Solanum lycopersicum: one gene and its partner. The protein of the gene in region 1 interacts with the protein of each later gene in a pairwise test. Links are inferred from orthologs where the notes say so. Each region holds a gene or a part of one and is shown in the gene's direction. Other genes may lie near its edges. The genes, in order: EMF2 and MSI1.

What was found.
Region 2: the proteins of EMF2 (region 1) and MSI1 interact in binary tests that used the Arabidopsis thaliana proteins (3 or more experiments, as listed by UniProt). The link is inferred for Solanum lycopersicum from reciprocal best matches to the Arabidopsis thaliana genes EMF2 and MSI1.

What each region holds. Positions count from the first base shown.
Region 1 is NC_090802.1:51,955,838-51,964,369, reverse strand, and holds the start of EMF2 (polycomb group protein EMBRYONIC FLOWER 2), read left to right. Parts: upstream 1-3,811; 5' UTR 3,812-3,943; exon of another isoform or gene 3,944-3,947; intron 3,948-6,094; 5' UTR 6,095-6,142; coding exon 6,143-6,177; exon of another isoform or gene 6,178-6,207; intron 6,208-6,303; coding exon 6,304-6,472; intron 6,473-6,900; coding exon 6,901-6,956; intron 6,957-8,532. UniProt on the Arabidopsis thaliana protein: Polycomb group (PcG) protein. Involved in flowering processes by repressing unknown target genes and preventing reproductive development.
Region 2 is NC_090800.1:88,995,615-89,004,146, reverse strand, and holds MSI1 (WD-40 repeat-containing protein MSI1), read left to right. Parts: upstream 1-3,514; 5' UTR 3,515-3,656; coding exon 3,657-4,001; intron 4,002-5,203; coding exon 5,204-5,530; intron 5,531-5,969; coding exon 5,970-6,122; intron 6,123-6,645; coding exon 6,646-6,770; intron 6,771-6,905; coding exon 6,906-7,001; intron 7,002-7,929; coding exon 7,930-8,158; 3' UTR 8,159-8,437; downstream 8,438-8,532. Other genes in the region: kinetochore protein NDC80 homolog, read right to left, coding at 1-126. UniProt on the Arabidopsis thaliana protein: Core histone-binding subunit that may target chromatin assembly factors, chromatin remodeling factors and histone deacetylases to their histone substrates in a manner that is regulated by nucleosomal DNA.

The sequences.
Region 1 (8,532 bases):
GATGAACATCAATATGCTAATAATATTATTACAACAGTTTTCTTGACAAACATTAATACACCCTAAGAAAATTATTAATATAAAAAAAAACTTGTAAAAATTATGAAAACTTATTGAAGAGAAATTTTTTTTATTTGATTGATAAAACAAAGGAAGAAAGTTTGTGGGTGTGAAAACAAAAATCACACAAAGAATGAGAGGTAATATATATTATTACTTTATAACTTATTAAATAATGATGAATGTTGTTAAAGACTCTCATGCAGATCTGATCCGTTCAGACCTTTTTAGGTCCATTAAGAGGCTTTTTTGAAAAAAGCAACAAACGGACTTAATTGGCTGAATCTGAATCATTCTGATTCAGACCTAAAAATCAAATACATTTAATGAGTTAATCTAATTGATTAAGATTCAGACCTCCATTAAATACAAACAAATTAGACCTAAATCTTGTTGTATTCAAAGTATTTATAGGGTTTTTTTAATTACAATATATGATACACTTTTAAATATATGCACTAAATAAGGAGTTTTTTTGCTATTATAATTGTCTGCCCTTTAATTACACTCTTTAAACTCTCAACTTCACATTATCAAATCAACAAGAAATAATGATCTATTCAGAGCATGTAGATTCCTATCGGTTCAATAATATAATTGGGATAGAACATACTCAAAATCTGATTTAAAACTTTAAAATCTGATTTCTTGTGTACATTAAGTGCATTGTGTGTACATTTATTTAACATGTTAATACAACTAACGAATACACACGCGAATAGTATAGGTATACAAATGATATGTATACATAAGAATACAACAATTCACTAACATACATTGGATAAAACAGGCTCAATATATCCATATTTTAAACTTATATTAATAATTCAATACATGTGAACAAAATGCAATAGAAGTATCCAAGTGTATAAGTATTCTAATGTATAATGGTGAAACAAAAACCTTCAACCAAAACCCCATAAAAATAGATGAAACGTATATACAACTATAACCTTCGATGAAAAAGAAAAAAAAATCAAAACTAGAAGAGATTCGAAGAATCTGAATCATAAAATAGCTCATGAAATCATGCAAAGGACCGTTGATTGTAAGAAATATTGGGGGATAGAAATGGTGATTTTGGGATACACTGAAAGAGAAACTTTGAAGGTGGAAACTAGGGAAGTGGAACACTAAAAGGAGGTTGGAAAAACTTAATTATATGTGTATAATTGTATTTACTATTTAATAATTAAACATATTCTTCATTAAAATATAAAGTATAATATAGCTATATGCCTTTAATATGTAATAATTGTATTTTACTATGTTATGTAGTTTTTCCATGTTTAGAAACTTGGGACAAACCTAAAGGTGTAAAGCAAGACTTACATAGGCAAATTAAAGTTAGATTACAAGGATTTAGGTAAAAGAGATAAACTTGAAACTCCATCTAAAATAAAGTGTTTTAAATGTGAAAAATATGAGCATAAAGAAAATGAATGTTCTAATAAATTAAAGACCTATCATTAAAAGATTAAGATATAGATATTTTGTATTATTCGAATTAGGCAAATGTGATAATTGATGCCCTAAATCGCAGATCGATGGACAACTTCTCATACTTATGAGCCAAAAAGAGATATTATAATTGACTTCATATTTCAGATGTTACAGGACTCAAATAGTTAATAATTATGGTGGAAGCATATCATTTTCATTATTTTATTCAATCATGATCAATGAAGACATATCATGATTTTAAGAGGATCCAAATTGAATTTGTGACTGAGTGTACCAATTGTCAGTATGTAAAAGTTAGACATAAGTGTGATGGGATAATACATGATATGACTATTCCTGATGTGGGAAGTATTCAATTATGAATTATGTTACACAATTAACCTATTTGCGAAATACTTTTGATTCTATTTAAGTGATTGTTGACAAACTAACAAAATAACCCATTTCTTGTCACTATACTTATATGAACGATGATTGTGTATAGTTGTATTTTTGATATATATAGTCAGTCTCCACGTTGTCCTAGTATTAATCATTTATGATTGAGGAGCACAATTTATATCTACTTTTTAGTAGTCATTCCAGAAGGACTCAGATGGTCAGATCGAGCACACAATAGTTAAAACATTTCAGAATATCTTATGAGTATGTGATATAAAATTCAAGAAAAATTGAGAATGATCACTTACCTCTTATTGAGTTGCATATAATAATAACTATCATTTTAATATTAGGATGAGTCATGACGCCTTATGAAGTTTTGTAGGGACGAAAATGCACATCCCCTATTAGTTGGTTATAGGCGGGTAATTCATGATTGGTTGGACTTGATTTAGTACACCTGACAATGGAGCAAGTTAAACTTATTTTGATTAGTTATTGACGAACATGATCACTAGAAATCATAATGAGGACCAAATACATAGCTTCGGTAAAGGTCTTTGGAGAAATAAGAACATCGAAGAAATGGCAAGAAAAATTGAGAAGGATATGAGATCTAGACACCCAAACCTCTTCCAAGCACTATAGTGAGAATATGCCAACCTGAATATCGTAGTCCGAGGTGAGTTACCCCTTTCAATTAAATTTTTATTATAATTATAATTTGCTTAAGACATTTGTTTATTAAGTTGCATCTTGTTGGTATGTTGTATCACTTTGTGAGACATTTAGACGGACTCCTCTACTTTTCTCATTTTATTGATATACCGTCATGAAAAGGATCATAGAAATTATTGCTAAAATTCGGATCAAATGAGATTGTCTAATTCATCCATACGATTCAACATATTCGAATCGATCAAAAATTTTAATTCTATCCCAATTATTCATTTTCAAATAATATTTACATTATTTACAAATATTTGTTATAATAAAAAATAGGTTTACCCCTCATTAATAAACTTAACAGATACAACTCTCTTTTAACAATTTTTCCAAACAAGTCATAATTATCCAATTTCAATTGAATTAATAGGCCAAATTTTACTACTTTGTGTGAACTTAAGTACCCATTTTGACCCTTGTTGTGAGTGTTTTATACATGTAATGAATGCACTTTGGAAGTATCAATATTCTTTTGCTATTTTGAGGTATGAAAAATTTTAAAAGGCATTTTTGTCATTTTAATTATTTTATCTCGAAATAAATTATTTTAATATTTATTTTTTCAAAAACAAAAATAACAAGTAAGATGCAAACAACTAATGGTAATAAGTTCTAAAAACATAGCTACCCCACCCTAAAATGGTAATAAATACCAAAATAGTTACTTCAGCATTATTGTTCCACCATAATAATAATAATTTATCTTAATTTTATTTTATTTGTCTCTAATTACTTGTCTATTTTTTTTAATCTATTTTTAGTTACTTGTTTATTTTGACAAATCAAGAAATGATAATTTTTAAATTAATCATGCCCTCATAATTATTTTAAAAAATAGAACTTTTTAAAAACCTTAAAATATTCATTAATTCACTTTATAATTAATAAGGGTAAAATGATAAATTCACTAGGTTAATAATTATTTTCTTCCTAAGTATACCATTAATTCAAAAATAAATAGATAATTAAGGACAGATAAATAAATTATTAAATTCGAGATAAATTATGTTGAACTGATCAACCAAAACAACGAAATAAGTGCACTTTAATTAATTCCAAAGACTATTTGGTCTTCACACCAAACAACCCCTTAAAAGTGGCTCCGTTCAGATTGTTCCTGTTCCCAGTTAAAACTTGACCCTGCCCCAAAACGCCTCTGGTTGAGCGGTCAAAGTTCGAACCGAAACCAAGAACGGATCCTAAAATCCGACTGATTCAGGCCCGCCAATCTCAAACGGCACCGGTCTTCTTCTTCTTCCGGCGAATCGACAGAGAGAGCACCTTCCTCCATCATCTTCGGCGAAATCCAGTTGTAGGTTACGTTCTTTCCTGTCTATAACGTGGGGCAAAATCCCTAATCCATTTTTCTAATTATTGTGAGCATTGCGACGATTTAACTTTGCATATATCCATGTTTTGCCTTTGAATTATCAGCGATTTGGGAATTCCAGTGTTAGCTGTTTTTTTTTTTTTTTTTTGAGCTTACCTGTGAAGTCTTAAGTATTGGATTTTATGGTTGTTTGGAGTTACCTAATAACGTGATGGATAAAAGGAAAGAAAGAAAGAAACACAAACAAGAAATGAACTGCTAGAATGACCCTTGTGTTCAGTTGCAATCGAGCAAAGGCGGCATTAGGTGAGTTCTTTGCATCTGCTAAGCTTTGGTGAGCTGAGTTAGTGGGTAAGTGTGCTTGTAAGAGGTACCATGTACCCAAGGTGTGTGTAAGCTGGTGCAGGAACCACAAGTATAACAAAGAAAATAATAAAGACAGAGCTAGGTTATGTGCGAAAACAATTTTTTTTTTTTTGATAATTGATGTTCTTTATTCCAACCTGAAAAACACAGGACTGGCTGTTTCGGCTGCAAATTGATTATAGTTTTCTGATTGTATAGCCCTTTTGCTTTGCAAATTTGGGAGAAATAGTCTTTTGTTGATAAATAATGGACTAGAGTATCTCTATGTCATTCATCTTAGTGAGATTTGAAAACTACATCTTTATTATGTGAATTCAGAAACTTTTCTTTATACTTAGGAACTTATTGAGAAACAGGGAGTTCTATTAGATCATAGAGGGGTTCTCAGACCTACCAAAGGTATTCCAGATTACCCTCTAGTAGGATCAGATTTACAGAGGCCAAAATATTCTTCCTTTATGCGTGTTTTGAAGGCTGAACTAAAGGAAGTTGTAGTTCAATTTGCTTAAAGTTTTTAAAGACCAAATTCAGCAATTATTTGTCCTGGAATGAATATAGTAGATGAGCTATAGATCGAGTTTGGATGGATCAATAATCCCAGTGGGTTATGTTTGTGTGGAGATAGTTTTCTCGGCTTCAAGTAAATGGAATTGCTCACTGTTGAGAAACTGGTCTGGTAAGGTGAAGGTTCATGTTGTTGCCAGACTCTTTCTTTCGTGAAGGGTTAATGGGGATTAACTATTAAGAAAGGGATAGGGAGAAGCACATATTTGCATTAGTGTAGGAGGAATATTTGGAGTGGTGCCGGGGGATGCTGATATTGGGAAGGTAAGAACTAAGAAAAAATTTGACTGGTTTTCAGATACTATCACGTGAAGATCTTTGTGATCTCCATGATTTTTTTCTCTTCTTGGTAATTCTCAGATCACTATATGAGAGAATCACCTTTTCTTGGTCAAGTCACTGCATGAGAGACTCAATTATTCATATTTTACACTAGAGACAAAAATGTTATGGATCTCTCTCTTTTGTGAATCAATCTTGATTGTTAGGGAGACAATGTTCCTGTTCTTTTTGAGTAATTAATACCGTTGAATGTATATTATGGGCAACCTATTCTTCCTTCAGTTGAACTCTAGCTTTTCGACGACTGTTGTATTTTTACCAAGCCATTTATACATGAGTTGCAACATATATTGCTGTGGTTCCCCTTGCTTTATAAAATCAAAGAACACAGATTTTATCATGCTATAGCCACTGGTTCCTTTTCCTTTATAAAATCGAAGAACAAAGATTTTATCATGCTATAGCCGCATGTGTATCCCTTTCGCTTGATGAAGAAGCTGCACACGAGTTGCCATGTTAAGCTCCATTCACATTTTGCACCTGGTAGTTCCAGTAGCTTTCTATTGGTTATTTGCTTATCAAAAAGGGTTGTAACATGGGTTGTAACATGTAATCTCAATCTCTTTATTATATCTTCTTCTTAAAATGGTTGTTTGGCTGCATTTTTTAGCAAGGCTATTTATATTCATACGTTGATATAGTGAGACTTCATGGCTATGTTTTTTCAAGTGAGATGAGAATGATTTTTCTGAATATCTCCCTCCTCCGCAACTAAAGAAAAGAGAGGAGTAGGAAAACTCATGTATTATCTGAAGGAGAAAGCTGAATCAGAATTTATCAATTATATTTCTGTCCCTTGTTGCCTATTATATCAAGTACTTAATGATTCTTTTCTCACACAATTTTAATTTCTGAATTTAGTGAAGTTGAAAGAACTATGAATATACATTTGAATACTTTGTGACAAGGATGCCAGGCATACCTTTAGTGGCTCGTGAAACCACGTAAGATATTTCCTGTGCCCTGCATTTGAGGTGTTATATTTGTATTGTCAATAATTACATTTTAAGGTACTCAAATGCACCTAAGAAGCATGGATGATGATTGTTATATTATAATTTTTGGAACAGGAATTACACTTGCTACTGCAGTTACTCTACAGCCACGGATTCAATGTGCAGGCAAGATTCTGCTACACATTTGTCTGCAGAGGAGGAGATTGCTGCTGAAGAAAGCCTTTCAAGTTATTGCAAACCTGTTGAACTCTACAATATTCTCCAACGCCGTGCTGTTAGAAATGTAATGTACTTACATGAGGAGATAAATTTTGCCTATTTATCATCAATGCTAATGATTTTGGTGTCAATTTCCAAGTTGATGTTAATGTTCTTACAAATATTGTTGCTTTTATTGGTTTTGAATGTCACTTAAAGTCTTTATGGTAACAAAATAACAATATTATCATTCTTCTCAGCCATGATGTTCTAAGTAAACACATCTTATGTCAGTTCCAAGTGTTTTATGGAAAAGTATATGAAAGATTATTATCTTTCTCTCAGCCATGCTTTTGAACTGATGTTTTAGATCCGGGCTTCTTTTTTTTGCTTGTTTCCAATTGTTATGAGATTTAATTTGTTTGTTCTCATCACGTTTATGACATGCTAATTATACATTCATAATCGGCATTTTGTGTAAGATGTTTCTAAAGACTGTAAAATATCTTGCAGCCTTCATTCCTTCAAAGATGCTTACAGTACAAAATTCAAGCAAAGCACAAAAGAAGGTATATATGATTGTGATTGCTTTCACTCCCAATTTTTCCTTCATGCAAGGTTACGTCTCATGTACTCTATACTAGATGCTCTGAGGTACTTTTAGTTGTCATGTGATATTGTCCATGTTGCTTTGGAGTGAAATCTAAATTTTTGTGGAGACATGACTTTCATTACTTTATTCCATTGGGAATGTTTGTTTGAATTGTCTTAATTATGTAGTCCTTTTTTTTGTGACAATGGCTGTTCAGTCAATATTTATTGTATTAAATTTAATGAATTGTCGAGAATCCAGTGATCTAAATCAAACAAGTTCCTAGTGACAAGATGTCTTCACAGTTTGATTCAATGATTAAACTTTGTAGTACTACTAAAGTCTAAACATTTTTCCTTATAAAATTTGTTAGTAAGTGCTTACACATTTAAGACTTGTATAGTAGCTTGTATGATATGGTGGTTTCACCAGTGTTATCGAAGGCGAAAAGTGCAAAAAAGCTCTAAGGCCCGTTGAGGCTTTAAGAGCAAACACACACAAAGCATGAGCTTTAATGATAAAGGCGCAAAGGGAGAAAAAATTAAAATATATATGTGTAGTCAAAGAATTATAAACATGAATGATGAATGACAAATATATGACCAAAGAAATTGGAAAAAAATTATGATAAGTGAAATATCAATTGTTTAGTATCATTTCTCCAGAATAGGCTCATAGGCAAGGAAAAGTTTGCCTTAGAACCTCGAGGATGACACTGAAACACATATAAAGCGAGGCGAAGTGCTCAACACGTTTTGAGCCTCGCTTCATGGCCTAATCACACTTAAAGCACGCCTTTTGACTACACTGGCTTCGCCTTATGGCTGCAAAGTAACTTCTTAAAAGACAGATCTAGTTATTGCTGGCAAGTTTTCTAAATTGCATGCAAACTACTGTTTGAAATAGCTGATGAAACTACATCTCCTATGTGGTTTGCGAGCTATTGCATAGAAGAGGGGTTTTTACCCTGTGCACATTTGGATGTAGCGGCTGCGGATTTCCCTTGTCATAAAAAAAATAGCTGATGAAACGTAATATCGTTCACTATGTAGTTGGTGATCAATATCGTACGTGTTACTCTTATACCACCCCATAATTCATCAAATGTCAAAAAAATTAAAATCATATAGGTGCACAAGTTTGAAACAAAAAAGCAAAGAGAAGCCCACAACTTTTTAAGTGAATGCACAATTTACATATTATTAAAAAATAGCAAAACTTATATGAAATTTGTACACTAACAAGCAAATTTCAAGTAAAATAACTAATTTTCGCATCCAATATAAAGTACCTTTTACTTAACAAAAATATTCAGCTCCTCAAATGTGATATTCAATTACCTCGCTGCGAAGCTTGATATTTAAGTGGAGAAGGGTAGAGGGCCTAGACCTATTATCCATTAAGTTTTGAACCTTGTGCCGTTAGACCTTCGGAATTCCCAGTTTAAAAAATGTCATTTTGAATAAAATACCTTATCCCAAAAATTCCTACTTCTGAAAGGTGAAATTCAAGAAGCAACCTACAAGCCTGTTTGGATTGGCTTTCAAAAGTTA
Region 2 (8,532 bases), on another chromosome or scaffold:
GAATTTCTTTACATCTTCCTCCAATGCACTCTTCTCATTCTCCAACACGTTTTCCTTTGATGGACCTGTCTCCATTGCCTCCAACTTCTCCTCTTGAGCCTTCACATCCCTCCAAAACATTCTCATTCTCAATTAACCGCTCCCTTTCTTGTTCCAACTCCTGCTTAAATTGATGATCCAATTCGTCCACTTGATCATCTTTTTCCCCTGAGGTAATGCAAATAACTCTCAATAGCGTTGCTCAACTCCTTATTCTCCGAAGCAGGTGGTTGAGCAGAACTCAGGCCGTGATTATCAAATTTACACAACTGAACAAAGACGGTGAATTGCTGTGTATAGACTAGCTCAATAATGAGGTGTCCCAGGGGCGCGTAATGCAGAGTTGTCCAATATCACTGGGAAATTTAAGGATTTCATTAGGCTTTGGAGATTGTCTTCTAGTTTTTTGCGAATCTAATGAGGAAAATCCAAAACGAGAGAGGATAAATTTAAGGGTTTAGATGAAGGGCGACTACCGGCAAAGCTTGTATCGGAATCACGGACGCCGGTGGAGAGATATTGCCGAAGTTGGAGGAGGATGTAGACGATCCGACACTGCTGGGTTCACACGGCGGCATCCGGCGCATCTTATTGACGGAAATTGTGGAAGATGCTGCTGTTGATCTGGATAGTGAAAGGTTTTTGAGTTCCCGCTTTGCAATTGAAAAATAGGGTTCCTTCATTGGGCGAATTTTGAACAGCGCGCCAAAATCAACTAGAATTATGATATATGCGGGTTTGTTTTTTTTTTAAAATCATACAAATGGTATTAAATAAAGAGAAAATTGTCAAAAATGCCCCTCAACTTTGTTTTATTAGTTGATTATGTTCTCATCGTTAAAGTGAAGTTATTTTTACCGTTACCGTTACTATTTTCATCATTTTTATCCCTTAATTGGATGAAAAAACTAAATAAACTAAAATTACAATTGAATGACCCGATTTTCTCTTTTAATCGAACTTGATTCATTATATCAAATTAAAATCCTAAACACATTTTTTTAATTTCTCCATCTCTTTTCTGTTGAAACACATGTTACTAAAATATGTGATCAGATTTGCTACCAATCCCTACGTTCCAACTTTAATTTTTGGATCTCATTTCTATCAATTTGTGGCTGTTGTTTTCCAGCCTTGATGCTCGCTTAATTATGTTGTTGGTTTAATTTATTAACGGTGCTTTCAGTTGTTTTCCGGTGGGGGTTCTGTTTGTTGGTTGTTTGGAGGTTGGAGAACGATAGTCTGGTGATCATTTGCTGGTTATTTTAGCTTGGGTGATGGAGGTCTGAGTTTTGGTGGGCTGAAATGTGGTTTTACTATCAGATTTTGGCATGGAAAGGATGGTGTTTGAGAGTTGTTTTAGAACGGTTTCGCAACTGTTTGAATGATTCCGATGGTGGGTGATTTGTTTAATGTTGTTTCAGCTTAGAACTGTCAGAAAATTGAGACGAAAGGTCTTGTATTGGCACCAGAAAGTAGAGAAAAATGGGTTTGTTGTTAATGTTTTCTGTTTGGTGTTGATCCTGGGTTTGGTGGCTTTTGAGTGGTGGTTTCAATTGGTCGTTTGGAGGTTGTTTCGGTGGTGTTTCGTCGGAAAAAAGGAGAAAATGAATGGGATTTTTGGGTCGTTGGAGCTTGATTTGGGTTTTAAATTTGGTAAATGGGTCGGGCTCTTATTAAAATGAGAAAATCAGGTCATACAATTGAAATTGGGTAATTTTAGTTGATTTGGATTTTCCATCCAGTTAAGGGGTAAAACTGGTGAAAATAGTAACAGTAGGGGATAAAAATAACTCTACTTTAACGATAAGGGTATAATCAACCAATAACACAAAGTTGAGGGTATTTTGGCCCTTTTTCCTTAAATTAATATTTAATAACTGGAATAGTAGATTTTATGACTATCTCGTAGAGTTAGAAAAATTGCTTTTGAAAGATTATCAACTCAAGTGTAGTAATTTATTTTTTTTGAATAAAAGAAGATGAAAAAAATCATGAAGATTATTTAGCAACTAATAAGGGAATCAATGTAAAACCTACAAGAGAAGGAATAAGAAGTTAAGAATCGTATGATAATCGAAACGTAATAAACAACAAACAATGATAGATATCAAAAGCAAAAACTATATTATTACAAATAATACGACAACAAACATCAACATCCATTGTTTGTTAACCTTTTACCCCATTGAGTGTCCTCCACGCCCTCATGTTTAAGATAGTATTCTTGGTAATTAGAAGTTATTTTGTGTCGTGACTGATTAGCTCTCTGAATACTTCTTCTGCCTATTCTACTGCTTCTCGAATCTACTATAACTAACCTCTCATATCTCCTCAGTGCAGCATATGCACATCTCTTATTCATACGTTTAGATCATCTCAGAGTTACTTTCTTCCTATCACAAGAGGTTACTCTGTCCTTATCTTGGATATTCTTATTCATAATTTTATTGCTCTTGGTATATAGGTCCACTCTGAACATACAATTAAGGTATAATATATTTTCATTTTCATTTTTAGTAGATTACCAAATAAATTTTATGATATATTTATCTTACAATAACATATTTAACGTATTTTTACAGAATATTAAAAGGTAAATATGTATACAAATTCTACTCATATTAAATAAAATAAAGTTTTGTTTTTATACTCTCCACTCAATTATCAAACCTTACTAATCATAATAAAAAGGGAAACATTCAAAATAAAGGAATCAAGAAAAAATATTAAAGCAAACAAGAAAATTCATACTAAAAACACAAGCATCTATGACAAAGTAATATGATAATCCAAGTGCAATATATAACAAAAAAAAATAGAATTACAAGAAATTTCTCGATAATATTGTGACTCGTTTGGTTTGAATTCATATTTGATGGAATTAATTATGATGAAATAAGTTATGCTAAGAATATTTTTTATTGACTATTTGGTTTGTTGTATTCAAAATAATAAATCTTCTAAACAACATATATGTGTACGAGAACACCCTTCATGAATGTGAGAAGTAATATATAAAAAGTGTTTAAAGGGATATTTTTGTCAATTAGTCATTTTGTCCATGGATAAGTTATTTCAGAATTATTATACCATTCAAGAAAAGAAATAACTTATATCGGTACTAATTATTAATTGTAGGATCCTTTAATACTAGAAATTTTTTAAAATTAAATAAGGACATATTAGGAAAAAAAATTATTGTCCTTTCTTGATTTGTTAAAATAGACAAGTAAATAGGAATAGATATAAAAGAATATGTGGTCACATGAATAAGTAAATAGTGATAGAGGGAGTAGTTAACAAAGTAAAAATAGTTTATATTTAATGGGGCTAGAGGATAAATTTGGCGGCTATTTATGTAAAGATACCTGCACATCCAACCGATTCGTAATTCGGGTCACACAGCCCAATGTCGTCGCAATATAAAACCCTTTTAGCTTTGCACATATCCCGCAAAAAAAAAGAAAAAAAGAAAAAGAAAATTCACTGAAAAATACCGTTCCCTCCAATTCTCTACAAACCCTCGTAAAAATCCCCAAACTCCACAAAACCCAAACCCTCACGCACTCAAAACAGAAGAAGAAAAATCTTAAGGCAATTCTTGAAATTGTTTAATGGGGAAAGACGAAGATGAGATGCGGGGTGAAATTGAGGAGAGGCTGATAAACGAGGAGTACAAGATTTGGAAGAAGAATACTCCTTTTCTTTACGATCTGGTTATTACTCACGCGCTTGAATGGCCTTCGCTCACCGTCGAATGGTTACCGGACCGGGAAGAGCCGTCGGGAAAGGATTATTCCGTTCAGAAGATGATTTTGGGGACTCATACATCGGAAAATGAGCCTAACTATCTCATGCTTGCTCAGGTTCAGCTGCCTCTTGAGGATGCTGAGAATGATGCCCGCCACTATGATGATGATCGGTCTGAATTTGGCGGATTTGGTTGTGCCAATGGCAAGGTTTGAATCTATTCTGTTTTATGCCTTGTTTGGCTGTTTTATATGGGTTTTCATTTTCTGGATGTTTTATTTTACTACATTTTTCTGGCTAATTTCAGTGTTAACGTCTGAGATTTACTTGTTTTGTACTAGAGTTTAGTTGTTCTAGGGCAGCCTGTTTAAGAATCTCTTGAATTTTGATAGCTTTGGGATTATGTTATATAGTAAATGGTTTAAAGTTTATTAACAACACTATAACAAGTAACCAGTGTAGTCCCAGAGGGTAGTGTGTACACAGACTTACTCCTACCTTGTGGAGTTCGAGAGGTTGTTTACAATAGACCGTTGGCTCAAAGTTTTCTCCTTTGCAGCGTAGGTACTAGGGAGTTGTGAATTGGAAGTTGTCAGTTCATTCATGGATTTTGCTCAAGGTACAGTTAATATTTCATCAAAAATTCACCAAAGGGGAAAAAAGGGGGCCTAGCATAATTAGTGCACCATTTTCTGACCCACCACCACACCAAATAAGGGCACCTAATAGGTCAATCCCTTTGGGCAGAGTGAACTCTTTGACTGACATTTTCTTATTGAAATTTTATGCGTTGTTGTAGTTTTTATTATTCCTCTGCTTCTTTCTCTGTCCTGATATTGTTGAAAGGTTCTCTTCATAAAGGGCACTTGAGGCTTTTATATCATATATGAATAATGATGCTTGGACCCCAAATCAGTAGTGATTTGCTGGTAGCTTAGGTGAAATGGGTTGTAACAAAGCCAATGCTTCCTGATTCGGCTAGCGTTCTAAAACTAATGGTTTAGTTGCTCCACTCATTTGAATGTGAAGATGATTGGAAGCAACATTGCTGCAGGAGAAAACTGATGAAGTTTTGAATAGTCAGCTAGAACTTTAAAAAGCTTATGAGAATACCACTTATGACTATCACCTTTTAGTGTAGATTGATGTCACAGATATCAAAGGTACTATCCACATAGAGTCAGTGATAAATTGATAATGAATTCTTCTATTTATGATGAGGGCATGGAACTGTAAAATCTTATTCTCTAAAAAGGTTTTAAAAATGGTCTGTCAGTTCCAATTATCACTTGAAGGCCTTACTCTGATATCTTTTTGCTGTACTATTATTTCCCATAATATCAGAGTGAATTTCTTGTCTCTGTTTCAACATTGAGTGGCTTATGTATAATGATAAATATTTCTCTTTCAGGTACAAATAATCCAGCAAATAAATCACGATGGAGAGGTTAATCGGGCTCGATATATGCCCCAAAACCCATTTATCATTGCAACTAAGACAGTTAGTGCTGAAGTATATGTTTTTGACTACAGTAAACATCCATCTAAGCCTCCTCTAGATGGTGCATGCAATCCAGATTTGAGGTTAAGAGGCCACAGTACAGAGGGGTATGGTTTGTCTTGGAGTCAATTTAAGCAGGGTCATCTATTGAGTGGTTCAGATGACTCACATATATGTTTATGGGACATTAATGCCACTCCCAAAAATAAGGCTCTAGAGGCTATGCAGATATTTAAGGTTTGCCTCGTGTTTTTTTTTCTGACGAGTCTGCAGAGGATAGATATTGCCATGTTACACTGCATAGATTATCAATTTGTTGCACCCACTTACTACTTGTAGTTTTATCTTGTGCAAATAACCATAATTGATAATTGGAGAAGAACTTGTATGCTTTCCCTTCCAGCAAACACCCCCAGGCACCTCGAAGTAAAAAAAGATCAAGCGAAGCAGAATAGCATGAGTTCTCTTTATTAATATCATGTTACAAAGTTAAACTGTAACTTCAATAGTGTCCCAACTTTTGTCTCAAAGGATATTTTTGGTATCATCTTCTCTACTATTTGCTGTCTGAAGCTTCAGTCTACCTAGCATGGACAAGAATCTTGTCTCTCGTATTATTTTCTCATTAAGCTTTTGTCAGCTGTTGTTGGTTTATTCTAATATTTAAAATGTGTAGGTTCATGAAGGTGTTGTTGAGGATGTAGCTTGGCATCTGAGGCATGAGTATTTATTTGGCTCTGTTGGGGATGATCAGTATTTGCACGTATGGGATCTGCGAACTCCATCAGTGACCAAGCCTATACAATCTGTAGTTGCACATCAAAGTGAGGTGCGGCTTAGACTTCTTAGCTGGACTTTTCCACGTTTATGTAGTTAATAATGCTTCCCTTTTGACTGGTGTAAGAACCACTCAGATATGTCTTCTTAACATTGTTGGCAGTCTTTTGATTTTCTTGCACAGAAATGTGAGGATCTTGTGCTTACAAAATAATTATAGTTTTTCTTGAAACTAGAATTAGTGTTTCCCAATTTTTACCTGTACTTTTTTTTCTTTTCATTTTCGTGGGTTTACATTATTGGATGTGCAAACAAGTGATTGCTGTGTGTGTAAACTATAATGTGATGCTCATGTCTGGATGAATTTCTGTTTCGTTTTAAATGGTTTAAGGAGAAGATCCTGCCTTCCATACTCTCTGCTGATTATTAAATGTACAATATCATAGAAGGATGATCATTACTGCACATGGCCTATTATGAAAAACATTTCTGAATGCAGTTATCTAGATTTTTTGTGAACAAGCAGTCTTGTGTTGATGATTGTACATGATTGACCTCCTTTCTCTTTTGATCAGGTTAACTGCTTAGCTTTCAACCCCTTTAATGAATGGGTTGTAGCAACGGGGTCTACAGACAAGACAGTTAAATTATTTGATCTACGCAAGATTTCTACTGCACTTCATACTTTGGATTGTCACAAGTAAGATGTCTTCCTTACATATACTTTTGAGGAAAATGTTGGCTCCGTCATCATTCGTGTTAAATAGTATAATAGAAGCTTGTTCATCTGTATTTACAGTTGCTTATCATTAATTTCCTTGCAACTTTTCTGCAGGGAGGAAGTTTTCCAGGTTGGGTGGAATCCAAAGAATGAAACCATTTTAGCTTCTTGTTGCCTTGGTAGGAGACTCATGGTTTGGGATCTCAGCAGGTTACTCTTCCAACTATCCTTACTAGTATTTTCATAATATCAGAGTGAATGTTCTGTCGGTCCAGTGGGTGCTTTTATTCTATCTTGCTCTTTGATGTTTTGAATTTTAATTATTCCATCTATAAGTTAACACCTGCCTTATCTTGCCAGCTATAGTTCACCTAGAGTTGTGATCTATCATCTCTATTCCTTCCCTCTTCTCCCACATGGCGTCAATCCCTGTACTCCTTAGAAAACTATCCCATTTCATTGTTTGCTACTGCCCATTTATTTGGAAAAACACCTTTTAGTCCTAGATTAGTATTTTGGCACTTCCTTTATAGGTTGCAACTTTGTCATCTCACTCAACATGTGATTTGGAACTCTGAAATAGGCTCATTCTGTTGTGTGCTCGAGTCAATATTGTACTGAATTGTCCTAGCATGTGAAAATGACTACGTCATATGCTCTACTGAGTTTTGGCATGTGTAGAATTGAAGTTCCATGTTGATTTGTGCACATGATAATCCAGATGTACAATTATATTATCATGTGGTCCGAATCTGAGTTTCTGATCCAAGTCTCAGTATCTGGGATTGCACTTATTCACTGAATTGTTTTGGTGGTATCAATCCATTGTTTCTCCTTTGTGACAACTTGTGTATTGAAGTTGGACTTTGACATTAGAGATATCATTGCGTTAAGGATTTGAAATCATGTACTTTAAAAGGAACTTCAGTTTTAACCAGTGATATTTTCTTGTGTCAAAAAAGGCCATTTCTGCTCAGTGATACATTTAACATCTACGCTTGAATGCCACATCTGGCGTTACATGGGATTTATTTTAGATGATTCACAGAAATCACTAGAGGTTTTATATATAATGTTCCCTTTAAGATCTGCAGGCTGCAGTAAACCTGAGATTTCACTTTTTTAAAATTTGATTTAGGATCGACGAGGAACAAACTCCAGAAGATGCGGAAGATGGACCACCAGAGTTGCTCTTTATTCATGGTGGCCACACAAGTAAAATTTCAGACTTCTCATGGAACCCATGTGAAGATTGGGTCGTTGCTAGTGTTGCCGAGGATAATATACTACAAATCTGGCAGATGGCTGAAAACATCTACCATGATGAAGATGACCTGCCTGGAGATGATGCCCCCAAAGGCCCTTAGGATACTAATATAGCCCTTAGGAGGGTATTGTAACATCAACTAGGAGAGGCTAAAAAGATGCTTGTTCTATTTGCCCCTCTACTCCCCCACATTGTTGCGTTATTTTTTCTTTTCGATTTTTCCTTTTGAACTGAGCTTCTCTACTACTGTGATGATATCTATGACTGTTACTTTAACAACTTTGTTTTTCTCTTTTAACATTTCATTTTTGTATTTAGATGAGAAAATATTGAGCCCATAGTTGCTTTTTTCCCAATTGGCAAATGATTTGGCCAGCTTTATACTTTTCTAGATTCTATTTCTTTTTTTCCTCCATAGTTGGCTGTGATTGCTTAAAGATGAAAGCAAAGTTCATATGAGTTGATGATGTAACT